4 linked regions of the Saccharomyces cerevisiae S288C genome follow. Each later gene encodes a partner of the first gene's protein in a complex. Each region holds a gene or a part of one and is shown on either strand. Other genes may lie near its edges. A codon is read from its position in the direction of its gene.

What was found.
Region 2: ORC1 (region 1) and ORC4 share a complex: the UniProt entries of both Saccharomyces cerevisiae proteins name them as parts of the origin recognition complex.
Region 3: the proteins of ORC1 (region 1) and SIR1 are in contact, whole or in part, in a crystal structure (PDB 1ZHI), measured with the Saccharomyces cerevisiae proteins. Residues at the interface, in NP_013646.1 of Saccharomyces cerevisiae: Glu61 (codon at 2,108), Ala62 (codon at 2,111), Ala63 (codon at 2,114), Gly64 (codon at 2,117), Thr65 (codon at 2,120), Tyr66 (codon at 2,123), Arg92 (codon at 2,201), Trp93 (codon at 2,204), Phe94 (codon at 2,207), Val96 (codon at 2,213), Pro98 (codon at 2,219), Leu116 (codon at 2,273), Asn117 (codon at 2,276), Asn120 (codon at 2,285), Lys121 (codon at 2,288), Ser124 (codon at 2,297), Glu125 (codon at 2,300); in NP_013027.4 of Saccharomyces cerevisiae: Glu463 (codon at 1,140), Glu464 (codon at 1,137), Tyr465 (codon at 1,134), Val466 (codon at 1,131), Ser467 (codon at 1,128), Pro468 (codon at 1,125), Arg469 (codon at 1,122), Leu480 (codon at 1,089), Ala481 (codon at 1,086), Glu482 (codon at 1,083), Arg492 (codon at 1,053), Thr495 (codon at 1,044), Leu496 (codon at 1,041), His500 (codon at 1,029), Met504 (codon at 1,017).
Region 4: ORC1 (region 1) and ORC2 share a complex: the UniProt entries of both Saccharomyces cerevisiae proteins name them as parts of the origin recognition complex.

Annotation. Positions count from the first base shown.
Region 1 is NC_001145.3:140,283-145,510, forward strand, and holds ORC1 (origin recognition complex subunit 1), read left to right. Parts: upstream 1-1,927; coding exon 1,928-4,672; downstream 4,673-5,228. Other genes in the region: SMA2 (Sma2p), read right to left, coding at 142-1,251; Ras family GTPase TEM1, read right to left, coding at 4,857-5,228. UniProt on the Saccharomyces cerevisiae protein: Component of the origin recognition complex (ORC) that binds origins of replication. It has a role in both chromosomal replication and mating type transcriptional silencing. Binds to the ARS consensus sequence (ACS) of origins of replication.
Region 2 is NC_001148.4:866,203-870,112, forward strand, and holds ORC4 (origin recognition complex subunit 4), read right to left. Parts: upstream 2,103-3,910; coding exon 513-2,102; downstream 1-512. Other genes in the region: cyclin-dependent serine/threonine protein kinase SGV1, read right to left, coding at 1-220; TIF3 (Tif3p), read right to left, coding at 2,443-3,753. UniProt on the Saccharomyces cerevisiae protein: Component of the origin recognition complex (ORC) that binds origins of replication. It has a role in both chromosomal replication and mating type transcriptional silencing. Binds to the ARS consensus sequence (ACS) of origins of replication.
Region 3 is NC_001143.9:638,650-643,065, reverse strand, and holds SIR1 (Sir1p), read right to left. Parts: upstream 2,527-4,416; coding exon 562-2,526; downstream 1-561. Other genes in the region: SKG1 (Skg1p), read left to right, coding at 3,098-4,165. UniProt on the Saccharomyces cerevisiae protein: Involved in the establishment, but not the maintenance, of heterochromatic silencing at the cryptic mating-type loci HMR and HML.
Region 4 is NC_001134.8:360,120-364,091, reverse strand, and holds ORC2 (origin recognition complex subunit 2), read left to right. Parts: upstream 1-1,577; coding exon 1,578-3,440; downstream 3,441-3,972. Other genes in the region: serine/threonine protein kinase AKL1, read left to right, coding at 3,905-3,972. UniProt on the Saccharomyces cerevisiae protein: Component of the origin recognition complex (ORC) that binds origins of replication. It has a role in both chromosomal replication and mating type transcriptional silencing. Binds to the ARS consensus sequence (ACS) of origins of replication.

The sequences.
Region 1 (5,228 bases):
AGAATAGAACATTGATAATATCTTTTCAAAGCCTTGACCGAGCGGGAAAAAAGGACGTTATGCAAAAATACTTAATATACTGAAAGGCTGTGTATATGTTTACATATTTACTGTCATTTGAAAAAAAAGTTCTGTGGTGAATTACTTCTCCATCAAGTCTGGAGAAGGGGAGTTAGATGTGTCTTCTGTATACTTATCAGACTTTTTGGGCTTAGCTTTGTAATGATTTGCTGCAAGAAATGCGAGTACCAATAGGACCCACTGGATGGCATACCTGGCGAGCCCCATAATGAACCCACTTCCCACGTTTACTTTTAACAGTTCCCAGCCTGTAGTGTGTACAGCAGCGTTGTCAGATCCTACGTCTGTTACCTCTTCAGGTTCTAATGTTTTCAGTGCAATCAAATATACGATGTTACATAATATTGTCAATGTAGCAATAACAACTAATATTGAACTTGATGACTTCAAAAGCATAGGAAATAAGCGGTGTCGTTTCCCAACACTAAGTGCTCCCCCAAAGGCTGACACTACGCAGATACTGAGGAATCCGACTATTATTTCCAACACTGCAAAGTAAAAAACCATGCCGTTGAACATCATCAGTATAAATGCCAGGTTGACGCCTTTCAGATAGTTTTTTGTTGGTGACACGCCTTTTACATTTGGATCAGGACTGCCAATCAAAGCCTTTGATAGGGCATTTCCTGTGTGCTTGTCGTGTTTCAAAAAATCACGAATAGATGTCAATGCCAAACGGTAGGTCAATACGAGAGAGTCTCCGAATTTTTTGGTTTCATTCGATCGTGTAGTGGAAATGTTACCTAATTGAATCCCGACGTCTCTGACAAGTACTTCAAGTACGTCCATGCCATAATTCTCATTAGAGGTACAATAAACTTTGCTTTTATTACTCCGTTTACAAAATCCAAAATAATTGAGCTCAAAAACCTTATCAGGCTGAAATGTGTCCACCAAATTTTCATCCTCATACACACTTGGATCAGTGAATTCATTCGACCAACCCATGTCAATTGTCAGGTACGAAATCAATCGCAGAAATTCTCTTACACTTGCAATAAACTCATTTGCAGTACTGGATCCTCCAATCACAGTTATAGTAAACTGTGGAGCGCATAACCTAAGTCCCTTAGAGTTCGTACATGTTGTGGCTGGCAGGTAGAGGACAAATTGTGATAAACTTAAAATCAATAGAACACCCCACACAATCAGACGTTTAGGGAATAACATGCTCGCCCTTTTATATTATGACAGAAAGAATATATATATTCATATATAACATGCTTCTATTTATTAGTTTTATCTTTTAATTGATGGATGTGTCCATAGAATTTAAGTAAGTGCATGGTATGGAGTGTATAATGGTTTATAATTTCCCCTAAGATGACACAAAAAAATGTTCTCCCAAAAATTTACCAAGAAAAAAAATTAAGAATACTACACAATTGATGCTTGGGTTATTTTAAATATCCGGTACATTCTATTACAAATATGTTTGTACAATGTAAGCCCCTTCATAATGGTCAGTATTAAGATAAGGACTGCTATGGGGCATTTTTTGTCTTACTGGGTATCACAGGATAATAACTTGGCGCCAAATTAGAAAAGATATAAACCTCAAATATTTGAAATTCTTTGGTGACCTGTCTCATCGTTATATCAACAAATATTGCACCAACGAACACCACTACATATGTAACTACTCTCTTCCTCGACTTATTTTTTATTAACGTTGACACGGCCAGATCGAAAATCATAGAAAAACAACAACATTGAGAAGAGATGAAGTTGCGCAAAGGGAAAGAAAACTGCATAGGCGGCAAATTCAGCCTAAAAGTTTCCAGAAGCAGGAACTCATTCCCTATTGATTAATACTCATTACAAAAACCACAATAGAGTAGATAAGATGGCAAAAACGTTGAAGGATTTACAGGGTTGGGAGATAATAACAACTGATGAGCAGGGAAATATAATCGATGGAGGTCAGAAGAGATTACGCCGAAGAGGTGCAAAAACTGAACATTACTTAAAGAGAAGTTCTGATGGAATTAAACTAGGTCGTGGTGATAGTGTAGTCATGCACAACGAAGCCGCTGGGACTTACTCCGTTTATATGATCCAGGAGTTGAGACTTAATACATTAAATAATGTTGTCGAACTCTGGGCTCTCACCTATTTACGATGGTTTGAAGTCAATCCTTTAGCTCATTATAGGCAGTTTAATCCTGACGCTAACATTTTGAATCGTCCTTTAAATTATTACAATAAACTGTTTTCTGAAACTGCAAATAAAAATGAACTGTATCTCACTGCAGAATTAGCCGAATTGCAGCTATTTAACTTTATCAGGGTTGCCAACGTAATGGATGGAAGCAAATGGGAAGTATTGAAAGGAAATGTCGATCCAGAAAGAGACTTTACAGTTCGTTATATTTGTGAGCCGACTGGGGAGAAATTTGTGGACATTAATATTGAGGATGTCAAAGCTTACATAAAGAAAGTGGAGCCAAGGGAAGCCCAGGAATATTTGAAAGATTTAACACTTCCATCAAAGAAGAAAGAGATCAAAAGAGGTCCTCAAAAGAAAGATAAGGCTACTCAAACGGCACAAATTTCAGACGCAGAAACAAGAGCTACAGATATAACGGATAATGAGGACGGTAATGAAGATGAATCATCTGATTATGAAAGTCCGTCAGATATCGACGTTAGCGAGGATATGGACAGCGGTGAAATATCCGCAGATGAGCTTGAGGAAGAAGAAGACGAAGAAGAAGACGAAGACGAAGAAGAGAAAGAAGCTAGGCATACAAATTCACCAAGGAAAAGAGGCCGTAAGATAAAACTAGGTAAAGATGATATTGACGCTTCTGTACAACCTCCCCCCAAAAAAAGAGGTCGTAAACCTAAAGATCCTAGTAAACCGCGTCAGATGCTATTGATATCTTCATGCCGTGCAAATAATACTCCTGTGATTAGGAAATTTACAAAAAAGAATGTTGCTAGGGCGAAAAAGAAATATACCCCGTTTTCGAAAAGATTTAAATCTATAGCTGCAATACCAGATTTAACTTCATTACCTGAATTTTACGGAAATTCTTCGGAATTGATGGCATCAAGGTTTGAAAACAAATTAAAAACAACCCAAAAGCATCAGATTGTAGAAACAATTTTTTCTAAAGTCAAAAAACAGTTGAACTCTTCGTATGTCAAAGAAGAAATATTGAAGTCTGCAAATTTCCAAGATTATTTACCGGCTAGGGAGAATGAATTCGCCTCAATTTATTTAAGTGCATATAGTGCCATTGAGTCCGACTCCGCTACTACTATATACGTGGCTGGTACGCCTGGTGTAGGGAAAACTTTAACCGTAAGGGAAGTCGTAAAGGAACTACTATCGTCTTCTGCACAACGAGAAATACCAGACTTTCTTTATGTGGAAATAAATGGATTGAAAATGGTAAAACCCACAGACTGTTACGAAACTTTATGGAACAAAGTGTCAGGAGAAAGGTTAACATGGGCAGCTTCAATGGAGTCACTAGAGTTTTACTTTAAAAGAGTTCCAAAAAATAAGAAGAAAACCATTGTAGTCTTGTTGGACGAACTCGATGCCATGGTAACGAAATCTCAAGATATTATGTACAATTTTTTCAATTGGACTACTTACGAAAATGCCAAACTTATTGTCATTGCAGTAGCCAATACAATGGACTTACCAGAACGTCAGCTAGGCAATAAGATTACTTCAAGAATTGGGTTTACCAGAATTATGTTCACTGGGTATACGCACGAAGAGCTAAAAAATATCATTGATTTAAGACTGAAGGGGTTGAACGACTCATTTTTCTATGTTGATACAAAAACTGGCAATGCTATTTTGATTGATGCGGCTGGAAACGACACTACAGTTAAGCAAACGTTGCCTGAAGACGTGAGGAAAGTTCGCTTAAGAATGAGTGCTGATGCCATTGAAATAGCTTCGAGAAAAGTAGCAAGTGTTAGTGGTGATGCAAGAAGAGCATTGAAGGTTTGTAAAAGAGCAGCTGAAATTGCTGAAAAACACTATATGGCTAAGCATGGTTATGGATATGATGGAAAGACGGTTATTGAAGATGAAAATGAGGAGCAAATATACGATGATGAAGACAAGGATCTTATTGAAAGTAACAAAGCCAAAGACGATAATGATGACGATGATGACAATGATGGGGTACAAACAGTTCACATCACGCACGTTATGAAAGCCTTAAACGAAACTTTAAATTCTCATGTAATTACGTTTATGACGCGACTTTCATTTACAGCAAAACTGTTTATTTATGCATTATTAAACTTGATGAAAAAGAACGGATCTCAAGAGCAAGAACTGGGCGATATTGTCGATGAAATCAAGTTACTTATTGAAGTAAATGGCAGTAATAAGTTTGTCATGGAGATAGCCAAAACATTGTTCCAACAGGGAAGTGATAATATTTCTGAACAATTGAGAATTATATCATGGGATTTCGTTCTCAATCAGTTACTTGACGCGGGAATATTGTTTAAACAAACTATGAAGAACGATAGAATATGTTGTGTCAAGCTAAATATATCAGTAGAAGAAGCCAAAAGAGCCATGAATGAGGATGAGACATTGAGAAATTTATAGATTCGGTTTTTATTATTCATGACCTAGCATACACATACATATACCTACATAGTAGCGCATTTATCCAAAACATACGATATTGTGGATGTACATACCTTCTATATCTCCTTAAAGCTATTGTGTAGCTTGATTTAAAATATGCTAACGCCAACTCTCACATGGTAGCAGGCGGGTATAGTTGTTTTCATGTATTAACGCCCGGCGATGGTGCCTTAGATGAGGGCGACGAGGAGGGCTTCCTGATATTATGGCTCTTTCTATCCTGACTTTTGTTATGATGTCGATGTTGCTGGCCACCTAGGTGCTTATATATCAAAAGAGGATCGCCGATTTCATTGATTTCTGGGATGGTTAATGTCAAATTAAAGATCTTTGCCAGTGCAATTTTGAAAATTTTTTGAATGTTTATAGATTTGGCAGTAGAGCAGAATATAAGAGGAGCATTCATGACCTGTGCATACTTCATACTCGTTCTCGAGATTTGTTCCTGATATTCCGGGTCTAAGTCTATTAGTAAATCGTACTTTGTGCCCACCAAAATAGGAATTGCCGAATC
Region 2 (3,910 bases), on another chromosome or scaffold:
CCTCACCAAATGTTCCTTGTCCTAATTTTTCATCCTCACGATAATGATTCTGGAAAACTGTACACCCGTAAACTTTCTCACTACTTCTTTTTCTTAGTTTGATGTATGTTAAGTTAGTCTTCGCATCTCGCTGGATGGCTGGTGTACTCTTCACTTTGCCGATTTTGTATTTATTAAATTCGGTTTTTGGAAGAACCGCGGGGGAACCATTATCACTCATATTATTTTACTGTTATTCTGCTTGACCACGAATGTACTGCTAATACTATACAATTTCTTTTGCTGGTGTTTGGTAATATTTCTTTTCACCATTGTTAATTTCTCTCTCTACATTGCCTATGCTCTATTAAATGCATATGTGAATTTTTCAAATTCACAGAGGTTTGGTGTATGGGTGTATTTCCGTTCGACGCGATGACCACATAATCTTGAACTTACTTATTAGGAAAGCTGAACAGTGGAATATCAGAGTTGCTACCGCCAATAAAATGTCTGTATATTGTTCCCAAGATTCACAGTTGTGTCCAGGAGTAGTACATATTAGATTTGGGGATAATTCTTCTTAATTCCTGAAGAATGATCTGCATCTGGTAACTTCTCAAGTCAAACGGGATCATGGTGCCCTGAAATTGATAATTGCTAGCGTAAAATGCTGCGGTCGCATTATCTCTCAAACCAACGGCTGATTTCTCGGTAAAAAAATCCAGTTGCACTAAATTTTCCCAAACGTTCTTGACGTCCTTTTTCAACCATAGTTTGATAGTATTGTCGATAGAAAAAGTACTTTGACCTGTTCCCACATTTGTAGTAGGAGCCACGGTGGGAATTCTGGAGTTGATAGCTTTAATCATCTTTTCATACTCTGCATAAGCTAAATTAAAATTAAAAGATCCGTCTTTCGCCCTTAAGGCAACCCTAGCGGCTGAGATCAAAATGGCTAACTCTAAATCGGATAAAGATTGGAGCCTTCCTGTTAAATTATTAGATAGTTGGTTCTTATTGTATATGTCAAGAAAAGAACACGATTTTATGGCAGTGCAGAGTGAACCAAAATTTTTGGATGTCGCTACTAATGGAATTATGCTATTTTTCAATGTAGGTAATGACCTAAAGGTTTCGAAATTCATCCTAATATGTCTATTCAAATTCGATCGAGGGTCGGATAGTTCTTTTTCCAACGTTTCATTCCATTGTGAAACCCAGGGGGAGATTTCAGAGCGAACTGTAAGTAAATTTCTGACGGCGTCAACCATATCGTCTAGATTCTGTATTTGCGGCATATAAATCACTCTTTGAGAAAATCTACTCTTTACCCTCTTTTCTAAATATTCCAAGATATTTAATTTCGTTGTGCAGCCAAAAATGCAAACAGGTACCCGAGAATGTTCTACCATGTCAAAAAGATTGTATAATAAAGTTTGCCTCACAGGCCCAGCAAATGTATCAATTTCATCGAATATAAAAACAACTGTTATCTTTGTTATACTCTCTCTGTCAACCTCACCACTATCTTCATTTCTTGTCTTCGTGGTCGAATCTAAGAGTAAAAGAATTTTCTCAAACACTTCTGTCAAAGAACCACTGCTAATAGTCTCTAATGAAGTATCGTCAATTTTTTCTTCACTGCCATGAATTTTCTGCAACTGCTGTTCCAATTGAGTTGCTATACCGTTAATAGCTGTTTGTTCGGAGTGAATAAACCCATTCAACCTGATAGTTATAAACTGCTCTTTATAAGATTGTTGCAACAAAGACAGTTCATAGTCTAATAAGTATGTTTTGTAACTTTGTCTGGGCCCCACGAGAATTACTGAATGACTCTCTTTCTGAATAATGGATTGTTTAATGATTCTATCGATCTCTTGTTGACAATCTTGTAAATATGTGAAGATTATCTTTTCGTCCGTAGGAAGTGTGCCATAAAGTTGCTGCAGTAACCTTCTTTGAAGGGAACCAAAACCAGGGTCGCTGTCTTTACACTTTTCATTATCTATAGTACGCTTTTTTAGAATCGCTGCAGTCTCCTCTACCTCTTCGTTTGAGTGCCTCTTTATTGGGAGAAGATTGACTTGCGGTGATAGACGAGCTTCGCTTATAGTCATGCTTCTTCTTTTGAATATTACCGATATTAGTAGTTTATATTTGATATTTCTATCAGTATTATTTAGATTTTTTTTTTTTTTTTAATTGTTAATGCTTTTTCTTAGAACTTTCCAAAAACGAAAGGAAAATGGGACATTCAAAAACTTACCTCACATAGAAAAATGATAAATCCAAAAATACACTTGAACACATGTATGAAACTTAATACAAAATATATGGTTATTTTTTTTTTAATTATATAATAGAGTTAGAATACCTGGTAGAAAGGAGAGTAGAAAAACAAGAAAGAAAAAAAGCAAACAGTAAATACAAATGTACATTTTATCATCATACAACACTCTATTTCTTACCAACAACTTCCCAATTGTCACCATCTTCAACAGTCAATTGAGCAGTTTTATCCTGTAGCTTTTCAACTGCCGCATCAACTTTGTTTTCTTTTGCGTCTCCATTTTGCTTTTCAGCCTCTTCATCTTCATCATCATCTTCAGTACGTAAAACATCATAAACAGACTTCTGGATTTTTGGTTGCTCATCAGTAGTCTTTTTGTTAGTTAGAGACCTATCCTTGTAGGTATTTTTGGTTTGTTGAGGCTTACCAAACTGAGCACCTCTGGCAGCACCCCAATCCAAAGCTGGTTCTTCCTTTTCTCTTTCTCTTCTTGGTGGTCTTGAGGAGCTTTGGAAGTTGGAACCTCTGGCTGCACTCCAGTCAATATCTGGCTCTTCTCTTTCTCTTCTTGGTGGCCTCGAGGAGCTTTGAAAGTTAGAGCCTCTAGCTGCACTCCAGTCAATATCTGGCTCTTCTCTTTCTCTTCTTGGTGGTCTGGAAGAGCCTTGGAAATTGGAGCCTCTTGCAGCGCTCCAGTCGATATCAACTTCTTCTCTTTCTCTTCTTGGTGGTCTGGAAGAGCCTTGGAAATTGGAACCTCTTGCAGCAGTCCAGTCAATATCAACTTCTTCTCTTTCTCTTCTTGGACCTCTGAAGTTAGAACCTCTAGCGGCACCCCAATCAAGATCTGGTGCATCTTCTCTTCCATCACCTTGGAAATTGGAGCCTCTAGCACTACTCCAATCAACATCTGCACCTCCCCCTCTTCTTGGAGCCGCAACAGAAACGTAAACAGTTCTCTCATTCAATTTAGTACCGTTGAACTTCAGAACGGCGACCAAATCTGCTCTTTCTTTCAAAGTAACGAAAGCATTACCCTTTAATCTTGTTGGGTCTCTTAGATTCTTTGGCAAAACAACTTCTTCAACCGCTTCAGGCTTAACTAAACCATCTTCAACCCAGGCTTGAACACCCTCTGGGGTAATATCCCATGGAATGTTGTTTATGACAGCCCTATATGGTGGAGCATCTGGAACAGGGTATTCCTCTCTTCTATCGGAAGAACCGCCCCCCAAAGCAGGGTCTAATCTAGATCTACCTCCAAAACTGCCACCAAAGCCGCCTGAACGCGTGTTATTGCTGTTGTTTTTAGCATGAGCCAATTCGGACAATGGAATAGTGTTTGCATTAGCGGTTTCAATAGGAATTGTGATCTTATTCAAATCGACATCTTCTTCAGCCCAAGATGAACCAAAGGTGTCATCATTTAAAAATGACGTAAGGTCCATCTTCTTTACGGTTTTCTTTGGTGGAGCCATGATGTGTCCTTTTTATTATGGTATTATTTTCCTAAAGACAGATGAAAGCTAATATAAACTCGAGTTTTATGATAATCCCGCTTATTGGTCTACTGATCTTCTCTAACTCTGTAGTTATATCTATCTCTTCTGCTTCTATTTCTGCTTTTCTTTAGCG
Region 3 (4,416 bases), on another chromosome or scaffold:
CTTATCTCTTGAAAAGTATTTGGTTCTTATTCAGTCATCCTTTGTTGGTTATATAGTATAAGTACATGCCATGACGAAATTCAGGAGTTACTCTGGAGTGTAATGCTGCTGCGTTTTAGTTATAAATAATATATCATCTTAAGGTGATCGATCCAGTGCTTAGATAATAATTCAGTTCACAAATTCGGCATGGAGGACCACCCACGCATTATTGTCGGTTTATGCTATATATAAGTTTAATTATAATTAGGATGAGCTAGTTCGCCAACTAAATATAAAATCAGAGAATGAAAACATTTCAGTGAAAGTTAGTCAATAAAACAGTAATTGGGATCATCAATTGCAGTATCTATTATTAGTATATTCTACTAAGTCCTACATAATATATATTTAACGGTACTACAGTACGGCTCGAGTTACTTAGCTAATCAAGCAATTAAAAACAAGTTTCTGTCAAACAAGTGTATTAAAGGCGAAACTGTACCAGTTATCTGACCTCATTGAAATGAGACATCACCCGCTTATATGTTGGTATCCATAACTGATAATCTTACCAACTATTTAATCGTTACAGTTTCCCATATATAGCTCCTCAAATGCCGCAATATAGTTTCTTCTCAAAACGTCATAAGCAGTTAAATGTCGCATCCGTCTAATGGCCTCTTGAAAAAGGAGGTCAGGCTCCATTTGCAAAGACATTTTCCGCCCACACTTTGACTGCTTTGTTGCATATGAAGATGTTGCTTCAAATTCAGGAATAATGCTGTCATCATACAGATATTGGACAGTTTGGTCATCCAAAAGAATAGGGACACAGGAACACAAAACTGTCATCCGCTCCGGCTCATACTTTAAATTTGCTTCTGTAGGTAATGTATGTAACTTGAAGTCCGCACCTCGTAGGAATTTTTTCTTTATTTGTTTACAAAATTTAAATAAGGTTTTGGCTTTCAGCGGGATAGGATCTTGATATTTTTTGAAGTCATTCCACTTAACTAAATTCATTTGGTCAATCATGGCACGCTGATGATCTTTTAGCAGTGTCAGTAAGCGCGGATCCTTTGGGTTAATCGGTTTTTCCTCTGCTAGGTCGATTAGAAATCCATCTGCTACTAAAAACCTCGGCGAAACATACTCCTCCTCTGTACTAAACTTTTTTTCAGCTGCCCACATATTTTCCATTTGTTTTATCAGAGTAATCAAAAGGTCTTCCTTAATAAGTTCGAGTGTAATTTTATATTCTTCAATGCTCTGGTAATATTCCTTATCAAAGCTAGCCTGCATCTCAGGATTCGCCTGAAAAGTATCCCTTATCTCTTCTAAAGATTGTGTGGTTTTTTCTATGCATATTTTTTCCAACCTTCTTGCCAATTCTTCAACAAGTTCAATATAATTTTTATCTTGACCAGCAGACATCAACAGTAAGGTGACTCTGGACACAGGAAATTTCGAAATTTGATCTAGGACCTCGCTAGAAACCTTATTCACCCTGATATTATTTTTTTCCTTTTGACTATTAAATTGCGTATGCACATTCTCTATTTGAGAAATATCTGCTGAGATCTTTCTTTTTACAACCTCTGCTTCAGTAAACTGCTGTTTTTTTATGTCTGAATAATCCAGGTTGGAGATAGTATTCTCCACAATTGGCTTTTCCCTGACAATAAACCTATAATCGTTATTTTTACTTTTGAATGAATCTGGGGCTGTTGAATTTGATATGGCATATGCAATATGTGTTGCTTTGGCAGTTGTCGTTCTCTTCACACGATACCACAGTGGAGCCTTACCGCATTTTCCATTTTCCATTACTTTACAAAATTTAACAAATACCCTCTTTCCTAATAATTGAAATAGCAGATCATCCTTTACAAAATAAAAATTTGAATTCAAACTATAAAGTATGTCAAGGCTTACCGGATTGTAAGTTTTTCTTAAATGGGCCCATTTTGTTAAGCCAACCTGACTCCTCAAATTGTTATCGTTCCACCTATAGAGCCTCCTTTCATTTAAGTATAGAAGGAAGCCCTCAATTATAATGTATTGATGACTAACATTGATCTCAATAAGGGGATACTCCCGATCAGGGTTTACATCCAATGAAAATTCACATACCCCCGCTAAGGGCTTTTCTTTATCTTTTAGCATCGGATGTATGTACACGGTGCCCCATTTTGGTAAATATAACCTGCAGCATTTACAAGTTAATTTCTTGACAACTTTGTAACGTAATTTGCTTCTGATCCTCTTCAGAATTATTCTTCCATCTTCTAACAAGAAAAACTCTCGCAAAACTAGCTTTATGTGTTTAAATAGTTCCATAGATTTCACTCCAACGAGCACCGAATTAGAATCCTTCTTTAATCGCGTCCAGTCCACCAAGTTTTGTTGTGATAGCTTTTTGTAGTCATCGTCATTGGGTAACAGTAATCTTACTTCAGGACTCCGAAAATTTATTGGTTTTCGCTTCACAGTGTCTACCAGCCATCCATCAATAACTGCAAGCCTGGAGTTGATCTGTAGCATTTTTTTTGATATTATCTTATAATTTTTCAGCTGCTTATAACGACGTGTGATTATTGACATTATTGTTCTCATTCTTATATTACTCAATATACATTCCGGGTCACATGTGCCCAAATTCTCGCGACAAACTTTTCGAGGCCGATATTAATAAACCATAGAAAAAGTACTGATCCTCGAAATCAGAGTTAAAGACTTTTAGAAGATTGGAAGTAAGGAATCCACCATTCGCTTGAGGTTTCGGGTTAGAAATTCTTTGCCTACCATTCGTTGCAAGCCTCTTTAGATTCTGCTTGCTGACTCGCTCGCTATTTGTTCTTTTTCAACAGAAAGCATAGACTTATTATTGTGACTAAGGATCAGTTATCGTTTGCCTGCTCGGGACAATTAAAACGAATATCTCTAAGTTGGATATTTTATACTGTGAGGCAGTTTTTGTACTGAGTTATTGAGTATTAGACAAAATTTCGAGTCCTTATTTTACTCTTCACCTAGGTCCGGCTTCTTAGTTTTGTGTTATTTATCAGGGATATATTTTTTTTTTGGGAGCTCATCGTAGTAAGAAGTAAAAGAGATGACTGCCAGCACATCAGTTGCGGTGGGTTGTGCGGTGGGTATACCCGTCGGTGTAGGTATTATAATAGCAGTATGTTTCTGGTTTAACCTACAAAAAAGATACAAGAGGGAGGAACAAGACGATAGAGAATTGGAAAGGGCTATTTATGATGAAAGTGGTTTCGTGTCCTTTGACAATTTTGGACCCTTAAGAGACAGTAAAGATGAAGCAGCACTAGCCAGCTCCGAGCTAAAAAATCCTGATCACACTTCTGGTTCATCGGAAGGATCTGCTCATCCAGAAGAAAAAGATGGAAAATCGCGAGATCAAGAGAAACCGTTAGGGAAAAAGAATAGTAAATACTATGTGCCAGCATACCGTAGGAAAATAAATTTACTTCAAGTACGAAATAATAACTACGGCAATAATGCCAGGCAGAAGTCCGTTGTGGATTTACCAAGTATAAATAACAGCTCCAATGTTTCCTTATCATCTTCCCAACGGCATATAACAAAGAGACAGATCAGCGTTTATGATCAGATGGTCCCTGTTATTTCTGATGAAGGACCAAACTTTTTCGCAGATCCTTCCAGTGATACTAATACTAGCAATGACCAAAACAAAGCTTCGATGATAGAACTTAAACATAATACTCGCCAATCTAGTAATGAAAATCTGATAAGAAATTTGCAGAATCAGGACTTTGGTTCGTATTACCCAAGGAGAGCTTCATCCTCGTTTTTAAATGGTAACATTTCAAACGCGTCCTTCCATACAAGGAATTCCTCTATAACATCGGTAAATAAGCGCGATGCCCTAGAGGATGTGTTTGCAACACCCAAAAGTGCGGCTCAATCACAGTTACCAAACACTTTTGATAAAGATAACGAAGGAATGGATGCTGACCACTCGGTAAAGGATAGCAGGTCTGCAATAACAGATAAAGATAAGGATTTATACAAATTACAGAATAACTATGATGTGGGCAATATCGGGGAAATTGCTGAGGAAGATCAATACGAAAACGAATTTACCAACTACTCACAGAGTAAGAGAGAGTTCATAGAAAGTCTAAGGCCTAAATAGTACTGTTGATATACTAAACATTATATTATAGTTAAAAAAAGAAGAAAAAAAGAGGAACAATTCTATTAAATTCACTTCAAACATCAAACGTAAACAATACAAACAGAACTCTTCATGGATGATGGGTTTTAAAAAATTAGTCAAGACATAATTCTTAAAGTTCATAGTCTCATTTTTCATTTTCTTTTTGCCTGCTTTCTCTTTTATACATCGCCGCATAATTTACTAAACGCCCTTTGTGTTTGTGGGCG
Region 4 (3,972 bases), on another chromosome or scaffold:
CACTTCTTTCAAAAATTCGCCGGTCTCAACGGCAGCAAGTGCTCAGCAGATGGAAATTATACGTTAATACTTTTTCCAATGTGATATAACGAAAAATTAGATACTGTGAATTGTGTTTGCCACCTTGATGTTGACTTAGTATTTCCTCTCGGTTGTAAAAGCCAAGAAGGTTTGACTGTTCGTCAATTAAGGTTCTTACGTGGGTTGTGCTAGATACGACGCGAATCAGTATGGTTTCTATCTGCCAATCATATCGGTTCTCTTCCATGGGCTAGAACAGATGAATTCTAGCTCTTTTTTAGCTGGACCAGTAAGGTTCAAATGGTATTTGATAATAGAGAATCACATATCTCCTTGTCCATTTCTGAAAGTATTAATTCAGTCATATCCAACTAGTCACAAACATCCGCATAGGCTTGATAAAACTCACAAGTGGCAGATTCCGAATTATGTGTCATATTGGGGTCATATTAGGACCTTCATTTCAGAATTGCTTCTGCTCCAATAAACTTTTTTTGATCCAAAAATCGTCTGATATAACGGGCGATGTCAATTGAATAATAAAACGGGTTCTATCTATTTTCTTGATCTTTGAAACCAAAACAGTTAGCAGGCAAGTGCAAACAAGTTGTCAATTGCACTCTGTTAACGAAAAAAATATATCTCATCTCCGCCGGTCTTCTTTGGTGGATATATATTACTCCTCCTTAAAGGTCATGCTCCTTTTTATGGGTTCTCGTCGTAATAATCCTGAAATTGTAAAATAATTTAGAGCTCAACACCACCATTGAGAACGTAGAATTTCAATTTTTAAGCTGATTCTCTTTCTGCATGAACTCTCCTAGCAATGTGAAACTTCTCTTAAGGGAAATTTTCGCCTTTTTGAATGGGCATACTTGGCCAAAAATTCAGGATTGAATATATATAATCGGAACTTGTATGGATAAAAATTTATATCAAGAGTCTGTTTCTTAATTGGATTTGCTGTGATCTAGTATTGAGATGACTATAAACCGGCCAGGAAATTAGTCTTTTCGAAGCTGGTTTTGGTTTCGCAAGAGTCTTTTTGACAGCTTTTTGGCCTCAATTTGTATTCCCTTAATACGCTTCTTCAACTCTGTCTTAGAGACCATTTCTCCAGTGGCCTCATCTAGGTGTAAACTAGCAATAGCGTCACTAGCTGCCGTGACATTAACTTGCTGTGGCACCTTTATATGTAATATGAACCATCTTTCAATGGATCATAAGAATAAGTGTCGTAAAAGGCCAAATATCCATGCATAAATATCGACTTATTCGCGTAAATGTGATATGGATCAGCTAGTACCAATTTCTAGTCTAGCAAAATCGGGAAAATTTTTCAGAACACCCACTCACCGCATCATTGAGGTGGAAATGACAATAGTAAGCAGAATTGTTATTCTTCACAATGTGTAAAAGTTATAAAGAAATAGGAACCACCTTTAAATTAAGACAAAGTAGAATATATTAGCTGAAATTGTATTTGATAATTGATCATTGATCTTATTTGCTATATCTTTAAAACAAGTTTTTGTAGTACTGCGAATTGCCATAACATGCTAAATGGGGAAGACTTTGTAGAGCATAATGATATCCTATCGTCTCCGGCAAAAAGCAGGAATGTAACCCCAAAAAGGGTTGACCCACATGGAGAAAGACAACTGAGAAGAATTCATTCATCAAAGAAGAATTTGTTGGAAAGAATCTCGCTTGTAGGCAACGAAAGGAAAAATACATCTCCAGATCCGGCACTCAAACCTAAAACGCCAAGTAAAGCTCCCCGTAAACGTGGAAGACCAAGAAAGATACAGGAAGAATTAACTGATAGGATCAAGAAGGATGAGAAAGATACAATTTCCTCTAAGAAAAAGAGGAAATTGGACAAAGATACATCAGGTAATGTCAATGAGGAAAGCAAGACTTCTAACAACAAGCAGGTGATGGAAAAGACGGGGATAAAAGAGAAAAGAGAACGCGAAAAAATACAGGTAGCGACCACAACATATGAAGATAATGTGACTCCACAAACTGATGATAATTTTGTATCAAATTCACCCGAGCCACCAGAACCTGCAACACCATCTAAGAAGTCTTTAACCACTAATCATGATTTTACTTCGCCCCTAAAGCAAATTATAATGAATAATTTAAAAGAATATAAAGACTCAACCTCCCCAGGTAAATTAACCTTGAGTAGAAATTTTACTCCAACCCCTGTACCGAAAAATAAAAAGCTCTACCAAACTTCGGAAACCAAGTCAGCAAGCTCGTTTTTGGATACTTTTGAAGGATATTTCGACCAAAGAAAAATTGTCAGAACTAATGCGAAGTCAAGGCACACCATGTCAATGGCACCTGACGTTACCAGAGAAGAGTTTTCCCTAGTATCAAACTTTTTCAACGAAAATTTTCAAAAACGTCCCAGGCAAAAGTTATTTGAAATTCAGAAAAAAATGTTTCCCCAGTATTGGTTTGAATTGACTCAAGGATTCTCCTTATTATTTTATGGTGTAGGTTCGAAACGTAATTTTTTGGAAGAGTTTGCCATTGACTACTTGTCTCCGAAAATCGCGTACTCGCAACTGGCTTATGAGAATGAATTACAACAAAACAAACCTGTAAATTCCATCCCATGCCTTATTTTAAATGGTTACAACCCTAGCTGTAACTATCGTGACGTCTTCAAAGAGATTACCGATCTTTTGGTCCCCGCTGAGTTGACAAGAAGCGAAACTAAGTACTGGGGCAATCATGTGATTTTGCAGATCCAAAAGATGATTGATTTCTACAAAAATCAACCTTTAGATATCAAATTAATACTTGTAGTGCATAATCTGGATGGTCCTAGCATAAGGAAAAACACTTTTCAGACGATGCTAAGCTTCCTCTCCGTCATCAGACAAATCGCCATAGTCGCCTCTACAGACCACATTTACGCTCCGCTCCTCTGGGACAACATGAAGGCCCAAAACTACAACTTTGTCTTTCATGATATTTCGAATTTTGAACCGTCGACAGTCGAGTCTACGTTCCAAGATGTGATGAAGATGGGTAAAAGCGATACCAGCAGTGGTGCTGAAGGTGCGAAATACGTCTTACAATCACTTACTGTGAACTCCAAGAAGATGTATAAGTTGCTTATTGAAACACAAATGCAGAATATGGGGAATCTATCCGCTAACACAGGTCCTAAGCGTGGTACTCAAAGAACTGGAGTAGAACTTAAACTTTTCAACCATCTCTGTGCCGCTGATTTTATTGCTTCTAATGAGATAGCTCTAAGGTCGATGCTTAGAGAATTCATAGAACATAAAATGGCCAACATAACTAAGAACAATTCTGGAATGGAAATTATTTGGGTACCCTACACGTATGCGGAACTTGAAAAACTTCTGAAAACCGTTTTAAATACTCTATAAATGTATACATATCACGAACAATTGTAATAGTACTAGGCTTGCTAGCTTTGCTTTCCCATAACCAACAATACTTAGTGATGTATCTTAAAACGACTAAAAAACTTCTCATATAACCCTACTGAAAAACGTCTGATGAGCTCTTCGAAAATTCAGACGAGTTATGACCTATATTTGTTTTTCATTTTTTTTAGGTGAACCCCGCCATTCTGAAAATGCCCTATTCAGAGCTCAATAACCGAAAAAACTTAAAAATACTGAATAAAAGCCATAATCCTATGAACCCCCTTTCTTGAATGAGTAAATTCAATAGCATTGTTGAATCAGAATCGGTGCCTCGGGAGCATAAGCAACACAGGACATCATAGAGATAATTTTAGTTGCCATTCATTTTTTGCTATTACGTTTTCCCAAGCTCTTGTTTTCGTCCCTGTCGCCTGTTATTTTCTTTCTAATTAGCACTGATCATGTCGATCACGAATGGTACTTCTAGAAGCGTTTCGGCAATGGGCCATCCGGCGGTAGAGAGGTACAC